Callithrix jacchus: one gene and its partners. The protein of the gene in region 1 purifies or fractionates together with the protein of each later gene. This does not show direct contact. Links are inferred from orthologs where the notes say so. Each region holds a gene or a part of one and is shown in the gene's direction. Other genes may lie near its edges.

Region 1 (4,181 bases):
CTCCCACCCGTCACCCCAGCACTTCGGGAGGCCGAGGCGGGCGGGTCACCTCGGGTCTAGGAGTTCGAGACCAGCCTGGCCAACACGGTGAAACCCCCGTCTCTACTAAAAATACAAAAATTAGCCGGGGGTGGCGCACGCCTGTAATCCGGCTACTCGGGAGTCTGAGGCAGAAGGATCGCTTGAACCCAGGAGGCGGAGGTTGCAGTGAGCCGAGATCGCGCCGCTGCACCCAGCTTGGGCGACAGAGCGAGATTCGGTTTCAAAAGCAAACAAAAACGAAGCCGGTGCCCATCGCACTGCCTCGCGTTTCCCTCCTCCCCGGTCACTGGCAACCGCGCGTGGGCGTTCTGGCTCTTCCTGTGAATGGATTCCCTCGCCGTGTATTTCGGTGTCTGAGTTCTCTGACTTAGCGTTTCAGCCGCACCCACGCTGCTCTCTCCCTTCCCGCTGCACGCGGCTGCGCAATGCGGGTGTCCGCGCTCCGTGCGCCCCTTGCGGGTTCCGCCCCGGGCTTGGGGGCGACGCTCGCCTGGCGGCTGCAGGAGCTACACCCTGGGGGCGCTGGGGGCGGGTCCCGGCCTGGACCTGCGCGTTCTTCCACCGCCGCTGGCGCCCGCCTGGGAGCTGCCGCCTCCTAGGGAGACGGTTCCATCGTCTGAGGAACAGCCAGACTAGATTTTTTTTTGAGATGGAATTTCGCCCTTGTTGCCCAGGATGGAGTGCAGTGGCGCGATCTCGGCTCACTGCAACCTCCGCCTCCTGGGTTCAAGGGATTCTCCTACCTCAGCTCCCGGAGTAGCTGGGATCACAAGTGGCCGCGCCACTACGCCTGGCTAATTTTGTATTTTTAGTAGAGACGGGCTTTCACCATGTTGGTCAGGCTGGTCTGGAACTCCAGACCTCAGGTGATCCGCCCGCCTCGGCCTCCCAAAGTGCTGGGATGACAGCCGTGAGCCACCGCGCCCAGCCCATCTGTATATCTTCTTTGGAAAAATGTGTATCCAAATCCGTTGCCGTTTTATAGTTAGACTCTTTATATAACTGAGTTATAAGAATTATTTATACCTTCTGCCAGGAAGTTCCTTATTAATACGGGATTTGCAAATATTTTCTCCCAGTCTGTGGGTCGTCTTTTCACTTTTGTGACGGTTTTCTTTGTAGCGCAGACTTTTTCTTTGGATGCAGTGTTCTTTCTGCCGCGTTTCTAAGAGAAACACGTTTGAAGCACCCCGGCGCGGGGCGGAGCAGGGCCGGGTCCGGGCGGGAAACGTCCCCGCCCTCCGCTGCGCCTGCGCGGACCCTGGCGCGTGAGTCCTAGCGCGTGCCCGGCGGAGCGCGCGCACGCCGCCCAGTGCGCCTGCGCGGAGCCCGTGGCCGCGCCTGCTCCCGCTGGGGGCTTCTCGCTCGGCCGCGCCGCGGCCATGGGAGAGGCCGAGGTGGGCGGCGGGGGCTCCGCGGGCGATAAGGGCCCGGGGGAGGCGGCCACCAGCCCGGCGGAGGAGACGGTGGTGTGGAGCCCCGAGGTGGAGGTGTGCCTTTTCCACGCCATGCTGGGCCACAAGCCCGTCGGTGAGCGCCCAGGCCGCGGACGCGCGTGGGGGCGGGGCGGGCAACCGGCGGGGCGGGGCAGGGCCAGCGCTCGCGACACCCGCGCCCCACGCTCCCCGCCACACCCCGCCCGGGACCCCGCCCCCTCCCGTGGGCCCCGCCCGGGGCCCCCGCCCCTCCCACGCAGCACTCAGCCCTGCCCCCAGCAGCCCCTCCGCTTCCCCGGCCCCGCCGCCTCCCTCCGCAGCCACCCTTGCCCCTCCGTTCCCCGGGGCCGCCCGTCGCCTCCGTCCCGTCCTCCCGGCTCACCGGTTGCCCCGCCGCCCCTCCTGCCGCAGGTGTGAACCGACACTTCCACATGATTTGTATCCGGGACAAGTTCAGCCAGAACATAGGACGGCAGGTCCCATCCAAGGTCATCTGGGACCACCTGAGCACCATGTACGACATGCAGGCGCTGGTGAGCCCGACCGCCCTCCCTGTGCCGCCGGGTGGGGGCGCGAACCCGCACGCCGCTCTCTGAGGGTCAGCCTGAGCTGGGCAGAGGCCCCTCCATGCCTGCTGGGGTCTGCTGGACGGAGCTGCGGGCTACTTGCGGTGGCTCGAGAGATTGTCATGGGAAGCACAAACCAGTGCGAGCGGCTGGTCAGCTTTTCAGGCGGCCTGCATTTGACTGGGTGCTGGACCAGAGCCTCCCGGGAGATGACTGGGCAGCTGAGACTCGGGAGGGAGGGAGGGAGGGATGCAGAGGCTGGGGCCCTTGGCCATTGCCAGTCTCCTGGGAGGCCCCAGAAGTGCTTTAGGCAGACGATGACCCTATCCGAGTCACACCAAGGCGAATTTGGTGGCTTCTGTGGGAGTTAGACAAGTGGTGTTCCAATCCTCACAGAGCTCGGAGCTGGCGTGTGACGGGCTAGCAGGTGAACTAGGAAGCAGGGTGGCCAGAAGAGGTAGGGGGTGCGGCTGGAGAGTGGGGTGGGGGTCGGGGCAGGTCACCAGGAGGAGGGGGACCTCTGCTGGTGGAAAGAGAGTCTGTGCCTGCCCTGATGGACTTAGGGCCACGCCTGCCCTCCCAGTAAGATGTGGGCACTGCCGAGGCAGGGAATGGTTGCCACTGGACGAGTGAAGTGGGTTTCCTTGTCATAGCTGTAGAAAGCGGACAGAGATGCCAGCTGTGCAGAGGGCTGTGTAAGGAGAGGAAGTACACCCAGCCCTGGAAGGGCCCTGGGAGCTCACACCCCTGTGGCTGCCACGTCCTGCATTGAGGATGTTCTGAGCTGGTACAGCATTGGGTGACCAGTGCCTAGTGGCCCAGGCGCAGCTGACCACTAACCTCACAAGGTCCTCCCCACTCCTGCCTAGAGCGTGTCTGTCATCGAACTCCTGGGGTCAGCAGCTTCTCAGTTGTGGGAAAGGGCGCCTGGTCCCCAGATACCTCCCACACTGGGATTTAGAGAGATGGGTGCAGCTCTCTGCCTGTGTCTGGGGAAGACAGACAGCTCCAAGGCCCGTAATGTCCCCTGGGGCTCCGGTGCTCGCTCAGATGAGCACAGCAGCCCACATGACACTCAGGGAGCGCATGAGACCACCAGGCCTCTCAGCCCCAGAATGGTGGCCCCATGCCTTATTCCTTCAGTAGCCTGTGGCATCAGTAAGGACTGGGCAAGACCATGGGGCTGGCACCTTCTCTGGACCATGGCACTTCTGTGTGGCTGAGGTCCGAGTCATCCAGACTTAATGAAATACAGAGCCTCTGGAGTCCACCCGAGAGGCTGACCAGCAGGCCCAGGAGATTTTGAGGAGCACAGATGTGGCCCGACTGCCTGCTCCACACAGCACCCAAACTGCCAAGCGGAGCCTCTGTCTCCTGAATCCACCTCCTAGTCCAGGGCTCTTCTGGCCAGCTCCACTTTCCCTGGCTCCTGGTCTCCCTCTGGTCTGTGTGACCGAAGGAGGGTAGTGCCTGGCAGGCACTCGGGGCCCTGCCCCACCTGCTCTGCCTGTCTCCCCATTCTGTAACTGTGGCATCCCAGCCAACACCCTTAGTGTCCGTGGGCTCCTGCCACACGGAGGGGAACTTGAGGCACCTGCAGCCTCTCCCTGGGGCTGTCACCATGCCCTCTGCATGCCGCCTTGGGGGAAGCAGTCTCATGGTGAGACCACAGGCCGTGGAGTGCAGGCGGTGCCCACAGGGTGCGTCACCAGCGCTGACCCATCCTCAGGGCCCCCCTTAGTGATGCCGCCCTGTTGCTTCTTCCTGACTCCTGCGGCTGCTTCCACTGGTCCTGCCCTCCCTGAGTCTCTGGAAAGCCCAGCCACAGCTGGTGCTACCCACAAAAAGAAATGCCCTTTGCCCAGACCCCACCTACTGCGGCCTCAGCACAGCACTGTGCACTCACTGGCCACCCCCAGGTGGCTGTGATACGGCCACAGTAACTTGTTGCAACCACATTTTCTGTTTCTTTTTTTTATTTTCGGCCTCCACCTCGCCCCCTCCTGTTTCTTAAACCAAACTCTTGGACATCAGCACGAATCTGAGATTCTTCCGTTCCCGAATTCAGAGAGGAACTTCGTCCTTCCAGAAGAGATCATTCAGGAGGTCCGAGAAGGTGAGACACGGGAGAGGTTGG
Region 2 (3,500 bases), about 57 Mb from region 1:
CACCTCTTGCAAGAGTGTCCCATCTCTGTACTTAACTGTATTATCCAGGTCAATTCCCCATCTTTTTCTTGTAACATTTTCCCTGCTGTATAAGCATTCAGCAAATGCTTATTCTCTACACTGTAATTTAAAACAACAGCATATTATTTTTGTCCTGGGTGTTTAAGTTAGTTACATTTAAATAGCTCTTAAGATCAGTGCATTTACTGTCGAAAAGTTACTTCAGCCTTCCATCTCTGATTTTACATTTCTTGTTTATCTAATTGCATCATGTATCTTCTTTTAAGCCTCTTTAATCCCATTGTGGAAGTAAGCCTAATGTTAACCAGAAGCTAGAGTTCAGCAATAATTAGCAAACTCATAAATCGTTCTGTGAAATTACTGAATTTTAAAACTGAACGTTTAATGATATAAATTTTCACAGACATGAAAATGCTGACTGAACTTGGCTCCTAACCTGCAATACACATATATTGGCCCTTTTCTATTTCATTAAAGGCCTTAAATTAAATCTGAATCTTTTATCGTCAGAAAGTTTATAAAATTATAAATAGGATATATTACTTATTTTTTGTGCTTTCCAAGAACAAGGATTCCTATTAGCCTAGGACATACAGTTTTTAACTCATTTTACATGATTTTCTTTGTGTTTATTAAACTTTTTACCTGGCATATTCAAATCTCATTTCTAAATACATAGGACAGAAAAATTTAGATTCTTAAAGTAGCCACATTGAAATTACCGAGGAGTAATTGTCCACCTAAGCTGCTGGATAAAGCAATTTCTTTGAAATATACTTTAAGGTCAGACACAGTGGCTCATGCCTGTATTCCTAGCACTTTGGGAGACCAAGGCGAGCAGATCACCTGAGATCGGGAGTTCAAGACCAGCTTGACCAACATGGTGAAACCGTGTCTCTTCAAAATACAAACATTAGCTGGGCGTGGTGGCACATACCTGTAATCCCAGCTACTTGGAGGCTGAGGTAGGAGAATCACTTGAACCCAGGAGGTGGAGGTGCAGCAAGCCAAGATCATACTAGTACACTCCAACCTGAGTGATAGAGCAAGATCCTATCTCCATAAATTCATATATGTAATTATATATAATATAAATAATACATATTTATGTTTTATATTATATATTATATAATATATATGTTATATACATAATTATATATATATATCTGTAATCCCAGCTACTCAGGAATGTGAGGTAAGAGAATCACTTAAACCCAGGAGGTCAAGGTTATAGTGAGGCAAGATCGTGCCTCTGCACTCCAGCCTAGGCAACAGAGCAAGACTCCATCTCAAGAAAGAAAAGAAAAAGAAATTATGGGTACAGTTGAAATACATTCAAGGATGCCATGCTCTGAAAACAGTTGAACTAACTACACTGAACAAATGCTTCTCAAAGTTTGGTCCCTAGACCAGCAGCAAGAGCATCACCTGAGGACTTGTTAAAAAGGCATATTCTCAGTTCCACCCAAGATCTACAAAATCAGAATCTCTGGAGTGGGACCCAGCCATCTGTCTGTTAACAAACCCTTCAGGTGATTCTACTGCAGATAGACACTAGTTTGACAACTGCTATCAGATGCTCTACTGTTTTATTTAATTTTATTACTGTGTAGTGATTTAATTCTGGGTTTCAGGTTACAACGCCCTTTTAAGATATGAAGGATTTGAAAGTGACTCTGCTCTGGACTTTTGGTGCAATATATGTGGTTCTGATATCCATCCAGTTGGTTGGTGTGCAGCCAGCGGAAAACCTCTTGTTCCTCCTAGAAGTAAGTAGCTCATTTACCCTTACTGTAATTTTATATATGTGTACTTTAATGCTGTTTTACACATAGTAATGTTAAAGTAATATGGAAATTAAAGACCTGGCATAGGGACTCATGCGTGTAATCCCAGCACTTTGGGAGGCCAAGGCAGGTGAATCAGTTGAGGTCAGGAGTTTGAGACCAGCCTGACCAACCAACATGGCGACACCCTGTCTTTACTAAAAGTACAAAAATTAGCCCGGCATGTTGGCGTGTGCCTGTAGCCCAGCTACTCAGGAGGCAGAGGCAGAAAAATCGCTTGAACCCAGGAGATGGAGGTTGCAATCACTCCTGAGCTGAGATTGCACCACTACACTCCAGCCTGGGCGACAGAGCAAGACTCCATCTCAAAAAAAAACAAAGAAATTAAAATAATTTTTTTTGGTGTCAAGCAGCCTTTTGCTGGCAAGACCTATACTTGCTTTCTGTATATTTACTTTTCAGAATGTTAGTAGTCTGACTTGCAAGGAAATTTGTTACCTTTTTTAAAACAGTTTATGAAGCACTTCTTTTTTGCAAAGTGTAACTGGTTATTTCTTCTATTTTAGCTATTCAGCATAAGTATACAAACTGGAAAGCTTTTTTAGTGAAACGACTCACTGGTGCCAAAACACTTCCTCCTGATTTCTCACAAAAGGTAAAAACAGGATCTTATAAAGACTGAAGAGCTCTATAAAACAAGGGTAACAAACATTTTTAAAGAATTGGTTTAATTTTGTGAACCTGATGATCTGTGTTATATTTCAAGCACATTCAGTATTTTTTACAGTATAATACGAAAATTCCTTGTAGACATTTGTCACAAATTTCGAGCAGTTTTTTTTTTTTTTTTTGTATTCTTTTGTTTTAAGGTTTCAGAGAGTATGCAGTATCCTTTCAAACCTTGCATGAGAGTAGAAGTGGTTGACAAGAGGCATTTGTGTCGAACACGAGTAGCAGTTGTGGAAAGTGTAATTGGAGGAAGATTAAGACTAGTGTATGAAGAAAGCGAAGATAGAACAGATGACTTCTGGTGCCATATGCATAGCCCATTGATTCATCATATCGGTTGGTCTCGAAGCATAGGTCATCGTTTCAAAAGATCTGGTAAGCACCTATCACAAGAACTCCTGTCGAAAGTATCATTGAGGTTGAATTATACTAGTTACTTTTCTCTACAGTATTGCGTAGATCAAACATAGTTGGTTTGGGATGCTTATTCAACCTTAATTAGTGGAGGTTCACACCATATTGGTGTCCTAGTAAATTTTTTTATACTCCTTCCACTTGTTCTCCAAACGAATGCACTTTTGGTCACAACTACAATTGTTTCTTTTATTATTCAGCCCATTTGAAAGATCTAAAGATACCTTTCCCTTTTCATTCAGTTTTAATCAAAACAGCGAGATTAAATGTGGTAGATTTAATACTAAGCACATGAAAACATACTTCTAAAGTTGTAATTCTCTAGGGAATTACATTAAAACTATGAGCATTAAAATTGGCTAAATGTATTTAGAAGCATATATGCTGCACATGTACGCTGAAGAGAGAAAAGACTATTAAAGGATAGTATTCATCCCAAATGTAGAAGGCATGTCTTTTTGCCATGTTTTATAGTGTGACATACTTTGAGAGTTTGAAGCCTTCAAAGAACGTGGTTTTTGGTCTTCTCACAAATGCTGACAGATTAGT
Region 3 (3,397 bases), on another chromosome or scaffold:
CTTTAATTTCTAGCATTCTAGCATCAAAAGTTGATTTTGATGGGTTTTGGCAGCATGCTCACTGCTTGAGGAGCAGATTTTGGAAATCCTTGAGGTCTCAGAAGTGCTTCTTCCCATTTGACAGACGAGGAAACGAGCTGCATGTGTCGTGGGCGGCCTGCCTTGTTCTTGCCGGCGGAAGGGCATGCTTTCTCACTGCCATTCGGAGCATGGGGGTCGGACTTAACTGAGAAGAGACCCCCGGCCTATACCAGGTAGTCAAACAGGAGCTCCATTAACTCAGTAAACTCTTACCGAGTGGCGGTGTCTGCAGTGGTCTGTGAGTCTCCAGTCCAGAGATCAGTCTCAAGTGTGGTGTGTGTGGTCACAGCAGCTCCTTCAGTTTGTGAAGCATTTGTCTTCGGTATACAGTCTTGGTTGGAAGTGGCACTGCTGGTGTCAGCTGTTTTGTTGTGTTAATTGGTCTGAAATATTCTGTGGTCAGCAAGGGTCGAAGTGTTTCGATATTTACCTGCATTCTCGTCAGGTGTCGCGTATCAGGTAACAGGCTTTGGCGCAGACCAGCTGCATTGGTGCTTTAGAGGGGACAGCAGCAAACCCAGAGGGAAACAGAGCCATCTTGTGCCTCCTCGTGTTCAAATAACAATGCATGTGTCAAATCTCTCACTGGAATTTACTCTAGCTGCTAAGTTAAAGACTAATTGCAATTTGAGAGTTTTTGTTTTGCAAAAAAAAAAAAAAAAAGAGTGAGTTAGGTGGAAGTGTCATGGATCAATGTACTTCAGGTCCTTCGCGACATCCTCAAGGAGGTTCAGAGTAACATGGTGCCGCGCAGCATGCTGAAGGAGTGGGCGCTGCACACCTTCCCCAACGCCACGGACTACTGGACGTTCCGTAAGATGTTCACCATCCAGCTGGCTCTGATAGGCTTCGCGGAATTCGTCCTGCATTTAAATAGACTCAACCCCGAGATGTTACAGATCGCTCAGGTAAGCCGGTTTGAACAGCCAGATCCTCTCCTCGAGACGTCGCCTTTCTGTTGAAGTTCCTAAAGTGTCTCCTTCTGAAATTTAGGACACTGGCAAACTGAATGTTGCCTACTTTCGATTTGACATAAACGACGCGACTGGAGACCTGGATGCCAACCGTCCTGTCCCGTTCCGCCTCACACCCAACATTTCTGAGTTTCTGACCACCATCGGCGTCTCCGGCCCGTTGACGGCGTCCATGATCGCGGTGGCCCGGTGCTTCGCGCAGCCAAACTTCAAGGTGGGTCTCCGCATCATCCGATGACAGGCACAGGCCAGAGCCGCTCAGGTGCACGCACGTCACAGCCTTGCGGGAGCTGTTTATCTGCGTCGTGGGCTCTGCGTTTCCCACTGTGGCCAGCACCCCCATGGGTTACGTCCTTCTTTGCTGTGAGGGCAGGGGATGGTTTTCTCTTTGGTTCACTCTCGGCTGTAGTGCCTGGAACAGGCCGGCCCAACACTCAGCAGACACTGGAAGGCATCAAGTAAATAAGCAGATGGAGCCCCAGTTGCAGTGTGGCCGCCTGTGCCACTCAGGTTTGTGCTGCCCAGCTCCAAGGCCTTCTGGCTGCTGCTTCAAGTGGAGGAGGGCATGTGTCCCCAGTGGCTTCCCCAGACCGTCCTGAGGGCACATGGCCTGGCCCAGTGCTGAGGCTTGACCAGCCCTGGTGGCCCTGGGAAGCCGCTGTGGCTGAGCCCTGCCTTGTGAGGAAGCTGCCCTTGGTTCACCGCAAGTCCTCACGTTCTCTCCCTCACGCAGGTGGATGGCATTCTGAAAACCGTGCTCCGGGACGAGATCATTGCTTGGCACAAAAAAACGCAGGAGGACACGTCCTCTCCTCTCTCGGCTGCTGGGCAGCCAGAGAACATGGACAGCCAGCAGCTGGTGTCCCTAGTTCAGAAAGCTGTGACCGCCATCATGACCCGCCTGCACAACCTCGCCCAGTTTGAAGGCGGGGAGAGCAAGGTGAACACCCTGGTGGCTGCGGCAAACAGCCTGGACAACCTGTGCCGCATGGACCCCGCCTGGCACCCCTGGCTGTGACCGCAGCCGCCTCAGCCACCCAGAATGTGAAGGGAGCCCCAGGCTCTGAGCCCGCGGCTTTTACCACTTCTCTCTGCCTCGTTCATTTTATTCACGAAAGTCCTGGGTTGCAGTCACTTTCCTGATAGTTTGTGTGTGAAAGAGGGAGCTGGTGACGACTGTGGGCGAGGCGGTTAGAAATGGTAGAGCTGGAACTTACTCCAAGCTTTTAAATGATCTTTTAAGAAACCAGGACTCTCCAGTCTAGAATTTCTGGGTGAGTCCCTTTTTTATGGTGTCCTCCCTCTGTGAATGTACAGGCGGAACCGTACGGGCAGCTCCCAACCGTCCATTTTTAACACCTCACAGCAACTTCGTGCTTTTGTACAGACCTTTGTAACAAGTGTATAGAAAACCCATTTTGCTTGAGACACAGGAGATGATGAACTGATCGTGCTGGTTTTTCTGAGCACAGAGTTTTAGGTTGTACGCAGCCCGCCCTGGGATTCTCGCTGAGCATTCGGCGTGGATCCATGGGTCGGGTCACCCTGCGGGAGCGCCACACCACATCCACCTGGATTCCGCTGGTGGAGACAGAACTGAGAGTCTGCAGGCAGCTCCTGCGATTTTTATTTCTGGCTCTTTGGATGTCTTCTAGACGTTTACTATCATTGTACCTGAAGAAAAATCACTTTTACCTTCCTAATTTAAAAAGACAAAACAGAAATGTAAGTTCCTTTGCTACTTCAGTCTTTCTGTTCACATTTTTATAAATCTGAGCATTGAGAATGTTCTATCTAAATTTGTACAGTGTGATTTTTTTTTAGAATAAATATTTTATAAAAGGGTTTCTTGTCCATTATTTATGTTAAAATGGAAACAGCTTGTTTCCATGAGAGGTTTCTTCCCTCCCAACGTCCCTCAGCCCCTTGGGAAGCAGAGGCCCCAGAGGCAGCGTGGGCTCCTCAGGGTAGCCTCTTGGTGACGGTGTGCACTGCCCGGGCAGGCACAGTGCTGCTGTGATCACAGAGGAAGCTGTGACTTGGGGCATGGGAAGCCAGCTCAGAGCGTATTCAGTCACAGCGACGAGTAATGGCGGCCCAACCTCAGCAGTGGGTCAGGGTGCTGGGACCCAGAGCCCTCAGCTGTGTTGATGTGTTCCAGGCTGCTGCCATGTAACATGCATGTGTGGAGCGTGTGCAGAGTGTGCCTGAAACATGCCCAGAGGCTCAGCATGAAGCACTCTGCGCCCAGCTCCACCTCCTCCTTGTGCTTCATCCAGTGTGTACCATGGCCACGCCTGCCCTCACGTGGGAGGGAAAGTCCCCGAGGAGCATGTGCCCTC
Region 4 (3,500 bases), on another chromosome or scaffold:
CATTTTACCTGAAAAAGTTATTCATATAAACACAACCACGGAGGAAATTTGTTACAGGAAGTTTAGACTTAATGCTGTCTTAGCCTCGTTTCATGTGTCTCGTAGGCATTGTGAAATCCCCTCTTGCTGGAGACTTTATTACTATGCAATGCAGAGAGCTCTTCCAAGAAATGAATATTGAATTGGTTCCTCCATATATGATTGCATCAAAAGTGAGTAATTATTGACTTTTCTTTGTAGAACTTACCTCCAGCTCCCCACCCCTATGAAATGAACTCCATTAACCCAGCATCTCTTGGTCCTCTCAGGAAGCTGTTCGGGAAGGATCTCCAGCAAACTGGAAAAGAAAGGAGAAGTTGCCACAGGTTACGAGGTCTTGGCACAATTATATGTGTAATGTAAGTAACTTTATTCTCTTTACAAAAATGTTGTAGACTTTTTCCATGAGTATTAAAAAAAAGTTAGATATAGGCTATAAATCCTTGAGTAAAATATGGGTACTTTATATTTTCAAGCACTTTATTTTTTTATTACTAAATATATTTTGAAGATTAAATAGAACATGATTTCAGGGTCACGCTCTATATTTTTAATGATATTTTACTAAAAAAAGAACTTTGCTAGGGGAGGCATGCTTTTCATATTTGCCAAACAAATATCTCTACAAATTACTACATATTCACTTGGATTACTGTGGTGAGACCTGGAAGGAATTTTAGTTTCATGCTATTCTTCTGAACATCCTTGGCTGAGAAATGGTTTCAGGTGTTCTAGAGACTTACTAGTATGTCTCAGCTCGTTCTGTTTCCCAGCATCAGTCAGCCATATGAAAAATGTGTTTTTGTTCAGAACAAGGAACCCGTGAGAGATTCTCTTTACTAAAAACCCATCTCTGAACATATGGCTTACTGATGGGGAAGAGGTTAGTAAAACAACCTGACACCACAGATACAGTGTAATTTCTTTTTTTTTTAAAAAAAAAACATATTTTAGGATCAGGGTACACAAGCAGGTTTGTTATATAGATAAACTTATATCACGGGGGTTTGTTACACAGATTATTGTCTCCCAGGTACTAAGCTTAGCACCCAATAGTTACTTTGTGTACTCCTCTCTCAGGGAGGCCCCACTGTCTGTATTTCCTTCTTTGTGTCCATGTATTATCATCATCTAGCTCCCACTTGTAAGTGAAAGCGTGTGGTATTTGTTTGATTTCCTGTTCCCGTGTTTGCTGAGGATAATGGTCTCCGGCTCCATCCATGTTCCTTCAAAGGACATGATCTCATTCTCTTTTTTTCACTGCATAGTATTCCATGGTATGTATATACTGCATTTTCTTTATCCAGTCTTCCACTGATGGGCATTTAAGTTGATTTTGTGTGTTTGCTATTGTGAATAGTGGTGCAGTGAACATATGCACACATGTGTCTTTATGATAGGCTGATTTATGTTCCTTTGGGTATAAACCCAGTAATGAGATGGCTGGGTCAGATGGTAGTTCTGGGCCAGGCATGGTGTCTCAGGCCTATAATTTGAGAGGCTGAGGTGGGTAGATCCTTTGAGCCCAGGAGTTTGAGACCAGGCTGGGAAACATGGCAAAACCCTGTCTCTACAAAAACATAGAAAAATAGCCTAAGTTGGTCTGGGCGCAGTGGCTCATGCCTGTAATCAAGCACTTGGGCAGCCGAGGCAGACGGATCACCTGAGATCAGGAGTTCAAAACCAGCCTGGCCAACGTGGTGAAACCCTGTCTGTACTAAAAAATATAAAAAAATTAGCTGGGCATGGTGGTAGGCACCTGTAATCCCAGCTACTCAGGAATCTTAGACAGGGGAATTGCTTGAACCTGGGAGGCGGAGGTTGCAGTGAGCCAACACAGTGCCACTGCACTCCAGCCTGGGTTACAGAGTGAGATTTCTTCCCAAAACAACAAAAAAATAAAAATCAGCTAAGTGTGGGGGTGTGCACCTTGAGTCCTAGCTACTTGGGAGACTGAGGTGGGAGAATCACCTGACCCCAGGGAGGTCGAGGCTGCAGTGAGCTGTGATTGCCCCATTGCACACTAGCCTGGGCAGCAGAGTGAGACCCTTATCTCAAAAAAAAACCCCAAATGGTAGTTCTGTTTTTAGCTTTTTGAGGAATTGCCACACTACTTTCAACAATGTTTGAACTAATTTACATTCCCACCAAAAGTGAATAAACGTTTCCTTTTCTCTGCAACCTTGTCAGCAGCATATGTTATTTTAATTTTATTATTATTGTTTTTGTTTTTTTTTTCCAAGACAGAGTCTTGCTCCGTTGCCCAGGCTGTAGTGCATTCATACAATCTTGGCTCCCTGCAACTTCCGCCTCCACCTCCTGAGTTCAAGTGATTCTTCTGCTTCAGTCTCCTGAGTAGCTGGAATTATAGGCACATGCTGCCACACCCGGCTAATTTTTGTATTTTTAGTAGAGATGAGGTTTCACCATGTTGACCAGGCTGGTCTCAAACTCTTGACCTTGTGATCTACCCTCCTTGGCCTCCCAAAGTGCTGGGATTACAGGTGCGAGCCACCACACTCAGCCCTATTTTTTTTGCTTTTTAATAACAGCCATTCTGACTGGTGTGAGATGATATCTCATTGTGGTTTTAATTTTCATTTCTCTGATGATCGGTGATAATGAGCTGTTTTTCATATGGTGTTGGCCGAATGTATGTTTTCTTCTGAAGTGTCTGTTCATGTCCTTTGCCCACTTTTTAATGAGGCAGTTTGTTTTTTCTTTGTAAATTTGTTTAAGTTCCTTATAGAAGCTGGGTATTAGACCTTTGTTAGAGACATAGTTTGCAAATACTTTCTCCACTTCCGTAGGTTGTTTACTCTGTTGATAAAAATTAATATATAACTAACAAAAGAAAGTAAGAGTAAAATTATGAGTCATAATTTACTATGAGAAGGATTATATCTACCTGACAGGTTTTTAAAAAATTATTTCATATATATATATATATATATATATATACACACATATATATTTTTAAAGACAGGGTCGGTCACATGTGGTGGCTCACATCTGTAATCCCAGCACTTTGGGAGGCTGAGGTGGGTGGATCCCAAGGTCAAGAGATGGAGACTATCCTGACCAACATGGTAAAACCCCGTCTCTACTAAAAGTACAAAAATTAGCCAAGTTTGGAGCTGGGCACCTGTAATCCCAGCTACTTTGGAGGCTGAGGCAGGAGAATTGCTTGAACCTGGGATGTGGAGGTTGCAGTGAGCTGAAATTGCACAACTGCATTCAAGCCTGGATGACCAAGCAAGACTGAAAAAAAAAGTAAAGATAGAGTCTCGCTCTGTCACCCAAACTGGAGTGCAGTGGTGTATTTGTAGTTCAGTGCAGCCTCAAACACCTGGGCTCCTCCCGCCTCAGCCTCCTAAAGGACTACAGGTGCACGCCACCATGCCTGGCTAATTTTTTTATTTTTTATTTCTTTTATATTATTTTAATTTTATTTTTTTTGA
Region 5 (3,018 bases), on another chromosome or scaffold:
CCCCCAACCCCAACCAGGATCATCAGAGACTGGCTCCCCACCCCTGGAACTCCTGCCCGCAGGGTCCCGGCCTGGAGAGCTGACAGGTGAGGCTTGACATGGCCACCTCAGTAAACCTCTGGCTCTCCTCCCTCCTGGATGGCAGAAGCTGGGACTCAGTCTTTCCCAGCTCCTGGGCCTCTACCCTGGGTGTGCTTTTATGGCTTTAATTTCAACAAGGGCTTCTGGATATCTTGTTTACGAAGCTGCCAAAGTGAAAAATTCCTGTATTATATGCGGCTCGAAGTCCTGCAGTTATCTCAGCTCCACAACACACAACATCATTATCCCGGCTGCCCCTTATCACTCAGTGCTGGTGCGCCTGCAGGATCCTGGTCCACTATGTTACAGTGTCTCCGCCGCCAGCTTGCCTCCCCTCCACCTCTACGAAGATCTTCAAACTGCAACAAGCGTCAGCCTCTTCTTGATAGATTAGATATCTCCTGGTGATGTTATGAGGCCTGGTAAATTTTAAAAGTAACTTTTTTGATTTATTTAACCATCATATTTATCAAGCAAATAAAAAATGTCTCTTGCCTGAGTGCTTGTGGTACCCATGCTGGAGAGGAAGGTTAGAGCTCTTGAGGGAGCCCAGGGCAGGTTAGAAGAGGCCTCAGTTCTCTGTCTGGGGACAGGGGAGGTCAGGATGTGGAGTCAAGAGTGAGCCACCTGGGAAGCCACACACCTCCTGAGGCGCCAGCCACACTGAATCAGTTGAACACAGCACACTGGCCGTGATGCCATTCATGCATACTTTGGGGCCATACATGCCTGGAAGGTGCTGGGCTGGCAGTGCTGGGCAGGTGTTGGCTCCCTGCCCACCAGCCCAGGTCTTGGTTTCTCTTACGCTGCACAGTGAGAAATACTGAGTGACATTGTCTTTAAAGTACTTTAGAAATGGGGTGCTTGAGGTCAGTCACTGTTGATTGTGTTTTTTTCTCCTCTAAAAGATCATTAAAATCCGCGCCCAGACGGAGGGAATCAACATTAGTGAGGAGGCACTGAACCACCTGGGGGAGATTGGCACCAAGACCACACTGAGGTGAGCTGGTACCCTGAGCCCACCGGGGCCTCCTCAGCACAGCCAGGGCCCTCGCTGTGGTCGTTCTGGGCAATAAAGGCAGGTCCCCTCCCAGGCCACAGTACTATATCCATCTGCTCTTCCTGGTGTGTTGGGTGCCAGGGCAGTTGAGTTTCAAATGCAGAGGATCTAGCTGATGGTTTTTAACAGGGTAGAGTAAGGCCGAATTCCCTGTTTCCTACAGCAGATTCTCCCCTCTTGTGGAGAGTGCTTTGACCCTGGGCCTTCTTGTGGCAGAGAAGGTGCACAGAACTAGAGAGCAGGGCCCATGTGGCAGCTCATTAGCCCGGGCCCTGGCTCCTGTTCTCCTGCTGATATTATGAGACCTGGGAAATCTTTAACATTTTTATTTAACCATTATATTTATCAAGCAAATAAAAAATGTCTGGGGGCCTGCAGACCATGTCCTTAACAGTGGCCTAACTTATTGTAAAATCATTGCTTCACAGTCCTCAGCCCTTCCCAACATCCCTTGAGTCAGTTCTTGCTCCTGAGGTTGAAGGCAGAGATGCAAGCTGTGAGATCTGGAAAAGGGGGACTTTTTAAATTGACGGAGTCTTCGTGCCTTTCGATAGGCATGTACTTCCAGCTGGCCGTGTTTTCGTTTCCCTGCCATGTTAAATATCCCTATCTGTTAGGCACCTGTATACATCTAAGTTTGCAGTCCTTTTCCAGTAGCAGTGGCGTTACTTCCTATTGGAGAGAATTTGTAGACTGTACTAAAGATTTGGGGAAAGCACTTAAGTCTTGTTCGTGGCTCCTGGCCCGTCTCTCATGGGGTAGTGACTGCAGCTCTCTGAGAAGTGACAACTTTGTTTCCACTTCTCTGTGTTCACAACAGCTAGCACAAGCCTAGCATTTGGAACTGCCTCTGGTGCCAGTGCTGCCTACTGATTTGGGGGAAGGGGCTTCCTTTGGTGGCCCCAGTTTCACTTCAGCCTTGGCCTCTGTCCACTCTAGGTACTCAGTGCAGCTGCTGACCCCGGCCAACCTGCTTGCTAAAATCAACGGGAAGGACAGCATTGAGAAAGAGCACGTTGAGGAGATCAGTGAGCTTTTCTATGATGCCAAGTCATCCGCCAAAATTCTTGCTGACCAGCAGGATAAGTACATGAAGTGAGATGGCTGAGGTTTTCAGCAGCAAGAGACTCTCCAGGTGTGCCTGGCCCAGTTCTGGACAGCTCGCCCCTGGGCTTGGGGCTGCTGTCCCACTCAGGCGTGGTCTGCAGTGCTGTCAGTTCAGTGTGGAAAGCATTTCTTTTTAAATTATCATAACTTTTCCTGTGGTTGCTTGTAAAGAACCCTTCCTTACCTGGTGTGTTTTCTATAAATCTTCATAGGTTATTTTGATCTCTCTCTCTTCTTTAAGTTTTTTAAAAATAAACTTTTCAGAACAGTTTTAGATGTACAGAGTCATTGTGAACACACAACAGGGATGTTCACATGTATCTCATACCCAGTTTCCCTTATTGTTAACATGTTACAGCAGATAGCACATTTGTCACAGTGAATGACCAATACCGATGCATTATTATACTGCATTCATATTTTCTCTGTTTTAATTAATGTCTTTTCTTCTGTCCCAGGATTCCATCCATGATACCCCATTACAGGTAGTTGTCATGTCTCCTTAGATGTCTCTTGGCTGTGACATTTTCTTAGATTTTCCATGTTCTTGATGACCCTGACAGTTTTGAGGAGGACTAATCAGGTATTCTGCAGAACATCCCTCAATTGGGCTTTGTCTGATGCTTTTTTCATGAGTAGACTGGGATTGTGGATTATGGAAAGAAAGACCTCAGAGGTAAAATCCAGTTTTCATCACATATCATGTGCGGTTCTTATCACATGCTAGCAACATGATGGTGACCTTTACCATTTGGCTGAGGTCAAGTTTT
Region 6 (3,941 bases), on another chromosome or scaffold:
GCGCCTGTAGTCCCAGCTACTCGGGAGGCTGAGGTGGGAGGATTGCTTGAGCCCAAGAGTTCTGGGCTGTAGTGCACTATGCCGATCGGGTGTCCGCACTAAGTTCGGCATCAATATGGTGACCTCCAGGGAGCGGGGGACCACCCGGTTGCCTAAGGAGGGGTGAACTGGCCCAGCTCGGAAACAGAGCAGGTCAAAACTCCCTTGCTGATCAGTAGTGGGATCGTGCTGCACTCCAGCCTGGACAACATAGCAAGACCCCATCTCTTAAAAAATAAATAAATATAAATATAAAATAGGCCGGGTGCGGTGGTTCACACTTGTCATCCCAGCACTTTGGGAGTCCGAGGAGGGTGGATCACCTGAGGTCAGGAGTTCGAGACCAGCCTGGCCAACATAGTGAAATCCTGTCTCTACTAAACATGCAAAAATTAGCCGGGCGTGGTGGCGGGCGCCTGTAATCCCAGCTACTAGGGAGGCTGAGACAGGAGAATTGCTGGAACCGGGGATGTGGAGGTTGCAGTGAGCCAAGATCACGCCACCAAACTCTGCCTGGGAAACAGAGAGAGACTCGACATCAAAAAATAATAATAATGACAAACAGACACAAGAACAGAAATGAGAAAATACCGCATGTTCTCACTCATAGGCGGGTGTTGAACAATGAGAACACATGGACACAGGGAGGGGAGCACTACACACTGGGGTCTGTTGTGGGGAATAGGGGAGGGACGGCGGGGGATAGGGAGTTGGGGAGAGATAGCATAGGGAGAAATGCCAGATATAGGTGAAGGGAAGGAAGGCAGCAAATCACACTGCCACGTGTGTAACTATGCAACTATCTTGCATGTTCTTCACATGTACTCCAAAACCTAAAATGCAATTTAAAAAAAGAAAAATAAATAATAAAATAAATAAAATGTGTTGACTTAGGGTTGTGGGGGGCCATTGTGTCACCAAGTGGACTCATTGAGCAAGGCAGATTATTGGGTGCTAAGGCAAGCGGCTTGGAGGCTCCGCACAGGCATAGGACAGGCTGAAGAGTAAAGAGGATTTAGAGGCAGAGACTAGAAATCTCTCGACACTCTGCTACTTCTGCCTGTAAACGCCCAACTTCCGCCGCTGGCGGCCACCCGCAGGTAGTGGTGTTGAGCGTCGAGCTTCCAGAACCGCGCTGTTGAGGGGTCGCAGGTGGCCGCGAGGTCTAAGTAGACGGTATGAGTTTGGCTGGAGGCCGGGCCCCCCGGAAGACCGCTGGGAACCGGCTTTCGGGGCTTCTGGAGGCAGAGGAAGAAGATGAGTTCTACCAGACGACTTATGGGGGTTTCACAGAGGCAAGATCCGGGCCTGGGAAAAGGGAGGGGAGGAAGCGAAGAGGAGCCCTGAAGGACGCAACCCGGGATAAAGAAGAGGGCGGGGAGTAGAGAGGAGCTCTGGGAGCTGATATTCGAGATGGCTGGGTGAATCGGAGTGTGTGGGTGGGGGCGGGGGAGCGGATAGTTTGTGGAGGCCTAGAAGGGAGAGCTCTGGATGGGGTCAAAGGGGCCTGGGAGGGAGAAGCTCTCAGGAGGCACTATGGAGAACGGCGGAAACCTGCCGTGTACTTCTCTGGTTGCATCTCCCACTGTCCTACTGACGTCCAGCATATGCGAGGCACACGCAGTAGTCAGCTGCTCGGTGTGTACTCGTTGGCCTACTGCTGGGTTATTCATCGGAGACACGGGAAGGAACTGCTCCAAAGGTAGAGGAGCTTAGCCCACTCCTTTTTCAGCTTCAAGTCTCAGTGTACATGTTTTCTCCGAAAGATAACCCTTCCTTGACTATCCTGACAAGTGTCCCCATTTATTACCTTCACAGGACATAGTTCAGCTTGTAATTAGATTTGGTTTGCTTACTTGCTTATACTTTTCTATTGCGTTGTAAACTCTATAAAGTTAGAGACGGTCTGTTTTATTCAACATTATGCGTGAGGTGTCCGGACTGGGCTGCCACTTGCTGAATTTTTATTAGTTGAATCTACCTATTTATTAAATGTGTTGAGAACCCAGAGCATGCCATTGGTGATAGGTTGTGTTAGGCTCTGTTTTCTAGGGAAACAGAATATTAAAAACACTGTTCTGTCCTTACATACTCGATACCCCAGTGGGGTAACTGGCTGGGTTAACAGTCAGTTAAAATACTGTGTGATAGGCCTGTCGCGGTGGTTCACGCCTGTAATCTCAGCACTTTGGGAGGCCGAGGCGGGCGGATCACCTGAGGTCAGGAGATCTCGACCAGCCTGACCAACATGGTGAAACCCCATCTCTACTAAAAATAAAAAAATTAGCTGGGCATGGTGGCACGCACCTGTAATCCCAGCTACTTGGGAAACTGAGGCTGGAGAATCACTTGAACCCAGAAGGCAGAGGTTGCAGTGATCGGGGATCATGCCATTGCACTCCGGCCTGGGTGACAAGAATGAAACTCCATCTCAAAAAATAAATAAATAATAAATAGCCGGGCTCGGTGGCTCACGCCTGTAATCCCAGCACTTTGGGAGGCCGAGGTGGGTGGATCACGAGGTCAAGAGATTGAGACCATCCTGGTCAACATGGTGAAACCCCGTCTCTACTAAAAATACAAAAAACTAGCTGGGCACGGTGGCGCATGCCTGTAGTCCCAGCTACTCAGGAGGCTGAGGTAAGAGAATTGCCTGAACCCAGGAGGCAGAGGTTGCGGTGAGCCGAGATCTCACCATTGCACTCCAGCCTGGGTAACAATAGCAAAACTCCGTCTCAAATAAATAAATAAATAATAAATAAAGTTTAAAAAAAGTCTGGGTGTGGGTGGCTCACACTTGTAATCCCAGCACTTTGGGAGGCCGAGGTGGGCGGATCACCTGAGGTCAGGAGTTCTCGACCATCCTGACCAACATGGTGAAACCCCGTATCTACTAAAAATACAAAAATTAGCTGGATGTGGTGGTATGTGCCTGTAGTCCCAGCTACTTGGGAGGCTGAGGCAGGAGAATTGCTTGAACCCTGGAGGCAGAGGTTGCAGTGAGCTGAGATTGTGCCACTGCACTCCAGCCTGGCACCTGGTGACAGAGTGAGAGACTGTGTGTCAAAAAAAAAATACTGTGTGATAAGGACTAAAACAAGGGGTAAGATAGAGTGCAAAGGTAATACATGTGAGCCAAAGTTTTTAATCAGGATAGGCATCCCTGGAGAGATGATGTTTAAGCTGAGGAGTTTGAAAAGTAGGCCTTGGCTTGGTGAAAAGCAGGAGGAGAAAGGTTAGTCCACAGAGCAGGTTGGGTAGAGTAGGTAAAGTTGAGATCTTTGTCTGGGACCTGCAAGTCTACTCTCATCCTCCAGAGCATGAAGGAGACTAAATATTGATAAGCCTGGAGGGAGTAGGCATGGGCCACATCATTGGCGGCCTTGTGAGCCATGTTAAGGAGTTTTGCTCTTCATCCAGAGGACTGAGATGAGTCATCAGAGTTCCATGATGAAATTTGTTCCTTAGAAAGATTACTTATGGCTGGGCGAGGTGCCTCATGCCTGTAATCCCAGCACTTTGGGAGGCTGAGGTGGGCAGATCACCTGACGTTGGGAGTTAGAGACCAGTCTGACCAACACGGAGAAACCCCGTCTCTACTAAAGATATAAAATTAGCTGGGTGTGGTGGTACATGCATGTAATCCCAGCTACTCAGGAGGCTGAGGCAGAATCACTTGAACCTGGGAGGCTGAAGTTGTGAACGGAGATCGCACCACTGCACTCCAGCCTGGGCAACAAGAGCAAAACTTCATCTAAAAAAAAATAAATAAATAAAGATTACTTACTTTGTAATGAGAATGGCTAGAAGGGGGCATGGTGGTAAAGAAACAGAACCCACAGAATTTAGGGGCCCATCGCGATGGCTCATGCCTGTAATCCCAGCACTTTGGGAGTCCAGGA
Region 7 (3,500 bases), on another chromosome or scaffold:
ATTTTATCAACTGACTTAAAAGATTTTAGAAAAGAAAAAATTCTCATTCTCATTTCTCAATTTTGAAATAGTCACTGAAAGTATATGTGCTATTTGGTTTATTCCTCACTTAATGTTAATCACTGTGCCTCTTACCTTTTCATCAGAATGTACAGCTTAACTCTGGACACACTTGACACTGGGCTTAAGGACTGTTGTAATAATACCAGATTCCAAGTCCATTTCTTTTGAATTGATATACTGTACACATAGGACTTAAACACATTTATTTGGGTTTAATTTAAGATTTTTCTTTCTGTCTTTGTATGTAATAAACTATTTTTCATCTCTTTCACCAAGGTTTTCAAACAGCTGGAAATTCATGAATACTTCACATTTTCATTTGAGTTTGAAGATTGTAAATTTAGAATTTAAAAAATTTTTTTCATTTAAAAATAGAGCACTTTCAGTGAATTTAACATGTGCAAAGAAAGACATTTGATTTTGTTGGTAATTCAGTAAGATAACTAATATGTACTTCAAAAATAAAGGTAATATTAAAAGTTTAGAGTGAACACTGTAATAGCCCCAAGGTGTTGAATCTTTTAAAAACAAAATTGCTATCTAAGAACTGTTTTCCCCTTACTGTCCAATATAAATTCTAATGATAATATTGTGGAACAGAAGTGAGAGTATATCTAAAGCTTTGTTCATCTCTGGGGCGTAACTCCTTTTTCATAGAAAATAGACTAGTTATATGTCTAGTTTACCATAAAAAAATTTTTTTAATTATTCATTTGTGATTCTACTCAACAGAAAACTTGGGAGAGTTAAGTAAGCTAGATTGAGGCTGTAGTTGCCAATCTAAACTCCTTTAGGGTGATATTGGTTAGGTCACTCAGTTGCATGTAAAGGTTGATTCATTAATTGATATTTCCTGTGTCTGTCATTTTTTCCCAACTACGTTCCAAGACTTTGTACCAGACATCCTCTTATTCATTTGTTTTCCTCTATATTCACTATAACTCAGTGCAACATTCTGCATTATAGTAGATAGCAAATATTTGTTGATTGAAATAATTGGGAGAAAAGAGGGCAAGCAATCAAGAAAATAGAGCAAAATTACTCTGAAGTACATGTATTCTCATGTCATTTAATTTTTCTTGACTCTTAATATTAATGTACTGACTTCCATGGAAATGGTTTTGTGTTTTCTAAATCAGTTTATCAGTGATTTACTTAAATATCAATTAATGAAATTTTGTTTACATTTCTTTGAGAAAAATGTTTTTTGTAACTTAGCTGATCTGTTCAACAGAAGTTGTAGATGTCTTGTTTTCATTTGAAACACACTTTTAACACAGTTGGTCAAAATAGAATTTATTATATCTGAGGATATATAGTATCTTCAGTTTTCTGAATACTTGTCTGATTTCTAGCCCATAATTTTATGGATGGATTTATTTTAGGCATTGAATCTATTGGCTGAAACTGTGGTTTATGGTTATGTTAGATGAATGTTGTTCCTTACTCTGATTTGTAATCAGAGAATAAAGTATTTTCACCTCAGTGTTATATGAAACCAGCAGTAAAAATCATTTACAGTCTTGGAGATGGTCCTGCTTTCTTATTAGGGCTATAACTTAATCATTATTATTATTATTATTATTTACATGAATAAATCAAAGTTTTTCTCATTACATGCTCATCATATGAAAAATTAAGAGTGGTATCAAAGATACTAAGTCTGAAAAAATGGTAAAATATTTATGTTAGAACTCTATTATTCAACAAAAACTACATTTAGGCACTTTTGTTGGCATATGATGGAGATCATAGATACAAGTGTTACACCACACTTGCTGAAAGATTTGCCATTTTCATTAGATTATTTTCTGATAAACCATACTGCGATTCGTAATTGCTTTCATCTTAATTGTGGAATAAGTTTATATTGTATTCTGCTTGTGTTATTAAAAATTCTTTAAAATGTACTCATTTCCAAAATTCATATTCTTTACCAGTAACAGGGGGTATCACAGAAGAGCAGTTTCAGACACATCAGCAGCAGTTGGTTCAGATGCAAAGGCAGCAGCTTGCCCAACTTCAGCAGAAACAGCAATCTCAGCATTCCTCGCAACAGACACATCCAAAAGCACAGGTAAACTTGTCGTTTCATCATAGTTATGTCTGTTTCTTTCATCATTACGTAGCTTTGTTCAGTTTTAGTCAAGTTCACAGAAGATAATCTTGGTTTTGCCACTGTTGATTTGAGGGATCTAACCCTCACTCTGTCACCCAGGCTGGAGTGCAGTGGCGCAATCTCAGCTCACTGCAACCTCTGCTGCCCAGGTTCAGGCAATTCTCCTGCCTCAGCCTCCCAAGTCAGGGAGGCGCCTGCCACCACACCCAGCTAATTTTTGTATTTTTAGTAGAGATGTGGTTTCACCATCTTGGCCAGGCTGGTCTTGAACTCCTGACGTCGTGATCCTCAGCCTTCCAAAGTGCTGGGATTACAGGTGTGAGCCACTGTGCCAGGCCCTAACCTGAATTTCTTTTCAGTTAATATACGTAATTTCAAGTGGCTAGCTTATAAACTAGTCTTCTAATATTTTGAGAAGAGTCCTAGAGCCAAATATGATATTTTTAATTTTTTTCTTGAAGGGTTGTTGAGAATTTATAGAACTAGTTATTTAGTTGTAAGAATCATTCTCCACTGCCACTCCCCCAAATATTTTTTTTTTTAAGATACAGCTTTCCTAACCACTTTCTAAACTATGTGTTTAAGTGCCGTGTGGCTGTGCGCCATGAGCTGGGTAGTAATTCACTTGAATTGTGAAATACATTTAATAGCATAACCCCTTGCTGTTGTGAATCACATTTCCCTATAGAAGAAAATTGCAGCCAGGCACGGTGGATCACTTGCAGTCAGTTGTTCAAGACCAGCCTGAGCAACATGGCAAAACTCTGTCTGTGCTAAAAATGCAAAAATAAGCTGCTCATGGTGGTACATGCCTGTAATCCCAGCTACGTGGGAGGCTGAGGCATGAGGATCGCTTAAACCCAGGAGGTGGAGGTTTCAGTGAGCTGAGATTGCACCACTGCACTCCAGCCTGGGTGATGGAGTCAGACTCTCTCTCAAAAAAATAGAATAAAAGTTTTAAAAATGAAGAGGAAAATTGCCACTAGGGGAAGTTGTTAATAGACACTACTAAATAAAGATGCTAGAGATCAGAATAAAAATACTTAATAAAACTATAATTGCCAGAAGGAACCAGCCCTGCCATTACCTTGATTTTAACCCTGTAAGATTCATTGTGGACTTCTGGCCTACAGAGCTGTATGATAATCAGTTTCTGTTTTAAGCCACTAAAAATAATATTAAGAAATATATTTCAAATTTGAACCACCTGAAAAAATAAAGCTTGCATTTTAGATCTTAAGTTTTATTGCTCTATAATTCCAAAACAATAATCTCTAACCATATCTATAATTCTAATAACTGAGGTTTACTCAATTTT

The links.
Region 2: the proteins of MRGBP (region 1) and MBTD1 purify together in Homo sapiens (affinity purification with mass spectrometry; 4 studies listed by BioGRID and IntAct, counting the BioPlex papers as one, with this or other methods). This does not show direct contact. The link is inferred for Callithrix jacchus from reciprocal best matches to the Homo sapiens genes MRGBP and MBTD1.
Region 3: the proteins of MRGBP (region 1) and TRRAP purify together in Homo sapiens (co-immunoprecipitation; 3 studies listed by BioGRID and IntAct, counting the BioPlex papers as one, with this or other methods). This does not show direct contact. The link is inferred for Callithrix jacchus from reciprocal best matches to the Homo sapiens genes MRGBP and TRRAP.
Region 4: the proteins of MRGBP (region 1) and ACTL6A purify together in Homo sapiens (co-immunoprecipitation; 4 studies listed by BioGRID and IntAct, with this or other methods). This does not show direct contact. The link is inferred for Callithrix jacchus from reciprocal best matches to the Homo sapiens genes MRGBP and ACTL6A.
Region 5: the proteins of MRGBP (region 1) and RUVBL1 purify together in Homo sapiens (co-immunoprecipitation; 6 studies listed by BioGRID and IntAct, counting the BioPlex papers as one, with this or other methods). This does not show direct contact. The link is inferred for Callithrix jacchus from reciprocal best matches to the Homo sapiens genes MRGBP and RUVBL1.
Region 6: the proteins of MRGBP (region 1) and VPS72 purify together in Homo sapiens (co-immunoprecipitation; 5 studies listed by BioGRID and IntAct, counting the BioPlex papers as one, with this or other methods). This does not show direct contact. The link is inferred for Callithrix jacchus from reciprocal best matches to the Homo sapiens genes MRGBP and VPS72.
Region 7: the proteins of MRGBP (region 1) and EPC2 purify together in Homo sapiens (co-immunoprecipitation; 4 studies listed by BioGRID and IntAct, counting the BioPlex papers as one, with this or other methods). This does not show direct contact. The link is inferred for Callithrix jacchus from reciprocal best matches to the Homo sapiens genes MRGBP and EPC2.

The regions. Positions count from the first base shown.
Region 1 is NC_133506.1:58,328,363-58,332,543, forward strand, and holds the start of MRGBP (MRG/MORF4L-binding protein), read left to right. Parts: upstream 1-1,381; 5' UTR 1,382-1,424; coding exon 1,425-1,572; intron 1,573-1,889; coding exon 1,890-2,011; intron 2,012-4,078; coding exon 4,079-4,160; intron 4,161-4,181.
Region 2 is NC_133506.1:115,168,035-115,171,534, forward strand, and holds part of MBTD1 (MBT domain-containing protein 1), read left to right. Parts: intron 1-1,655; coding exon 1,656-1,790; intron 1,791-2,374; coding exon 2,375-2,463; intron 2,464-2,677; coding exon 2,678-2,912; intron 2,913-3,500. UniProt on the Homo sapiens protein: Chromatin reader component of the NuA4 histone acetyltransferase complex, a multiprotein complex involved in transcriptional activation of select genes principally by acetylation of nucleosomal histones H4 and H2A.
Region 3 is NC_133503.1:14,584,431-14,587,827, reverse strand, and holds the end of TRRAP (transformation/transcription domain-associated protein), read left to right. Parts: intron 1-785; coding exon 786-989; intron 990-1,074; coding exon 1,075-1,269; intron 1,270-1,788; coding exon 1,789-2,073; 3' UTR 2,074-2,897; downstream 2,898-3,397. UniProt on the Homo sapiens protein: Adapter protein, which is found in various multiprotein chromatin complexes with histone acetyltransferase activity (HAT), which gives a specific tag for epigenetic transcription activation.
Region 4 is NC_133516.1:7,806,214-7,809,713, forward strand, and holds part of ACTL6A (actin-like protein 6A), read left to right. Parts: intron 1-105; coding exon 106-212; intron 213-308; coding exon 309-398; intron 399-3,500.
Region 5 is NC_133516.1:74,067,474-74,070,491, forward strand, and holds the end of RUVBL1 (ruvB-like 1), read left to right. Parts: intron 1-989; coding exon 990-1,081; intron 1,082-2,080; coding exon 2,081-2,240; 3' UTR 2,241-2,518; downstream 2,519-3,018. UniProt on the Homo sapiens protein: Possesses single-stranded DNA-stimulated ATPase and ATP-dependent DNA helicase (3' to 5') activity; hexamerization is thought to be critical for ATP hydrolysis and adjacent subunits in the ring-like structure contribute to the ATPase activity.
Region 6 is NC_133519.1:11,082,130-11,086,070, reverse strand, and holds the start of VPS72 (vacuolar protein sorting-associated protein 72 homolog), read left to right. Parts: upstream 1-1,141; 5' UTR 1,142-1,217; coding exon 1,218-1,334; intron 1,335-3,941. UniProt on the Homo sapiens protein: Deposition-and-exchange histone chaperone specific for H2AZ1, specifically chaperones H2AZ1 and deposits it into nucleosomes.
Region 7 is NC_133507.1:81,621,339-81,624,838, reverse strand, and holds part of EPC2 (enhancer of polycomb homolog 2), read left to right. Parts: intron 1-2,003; coding exon 2,004-2,140; intron 2,141-3,500. UniProt on the Homo sapiens protein: May play a role in transcription or DNA repair.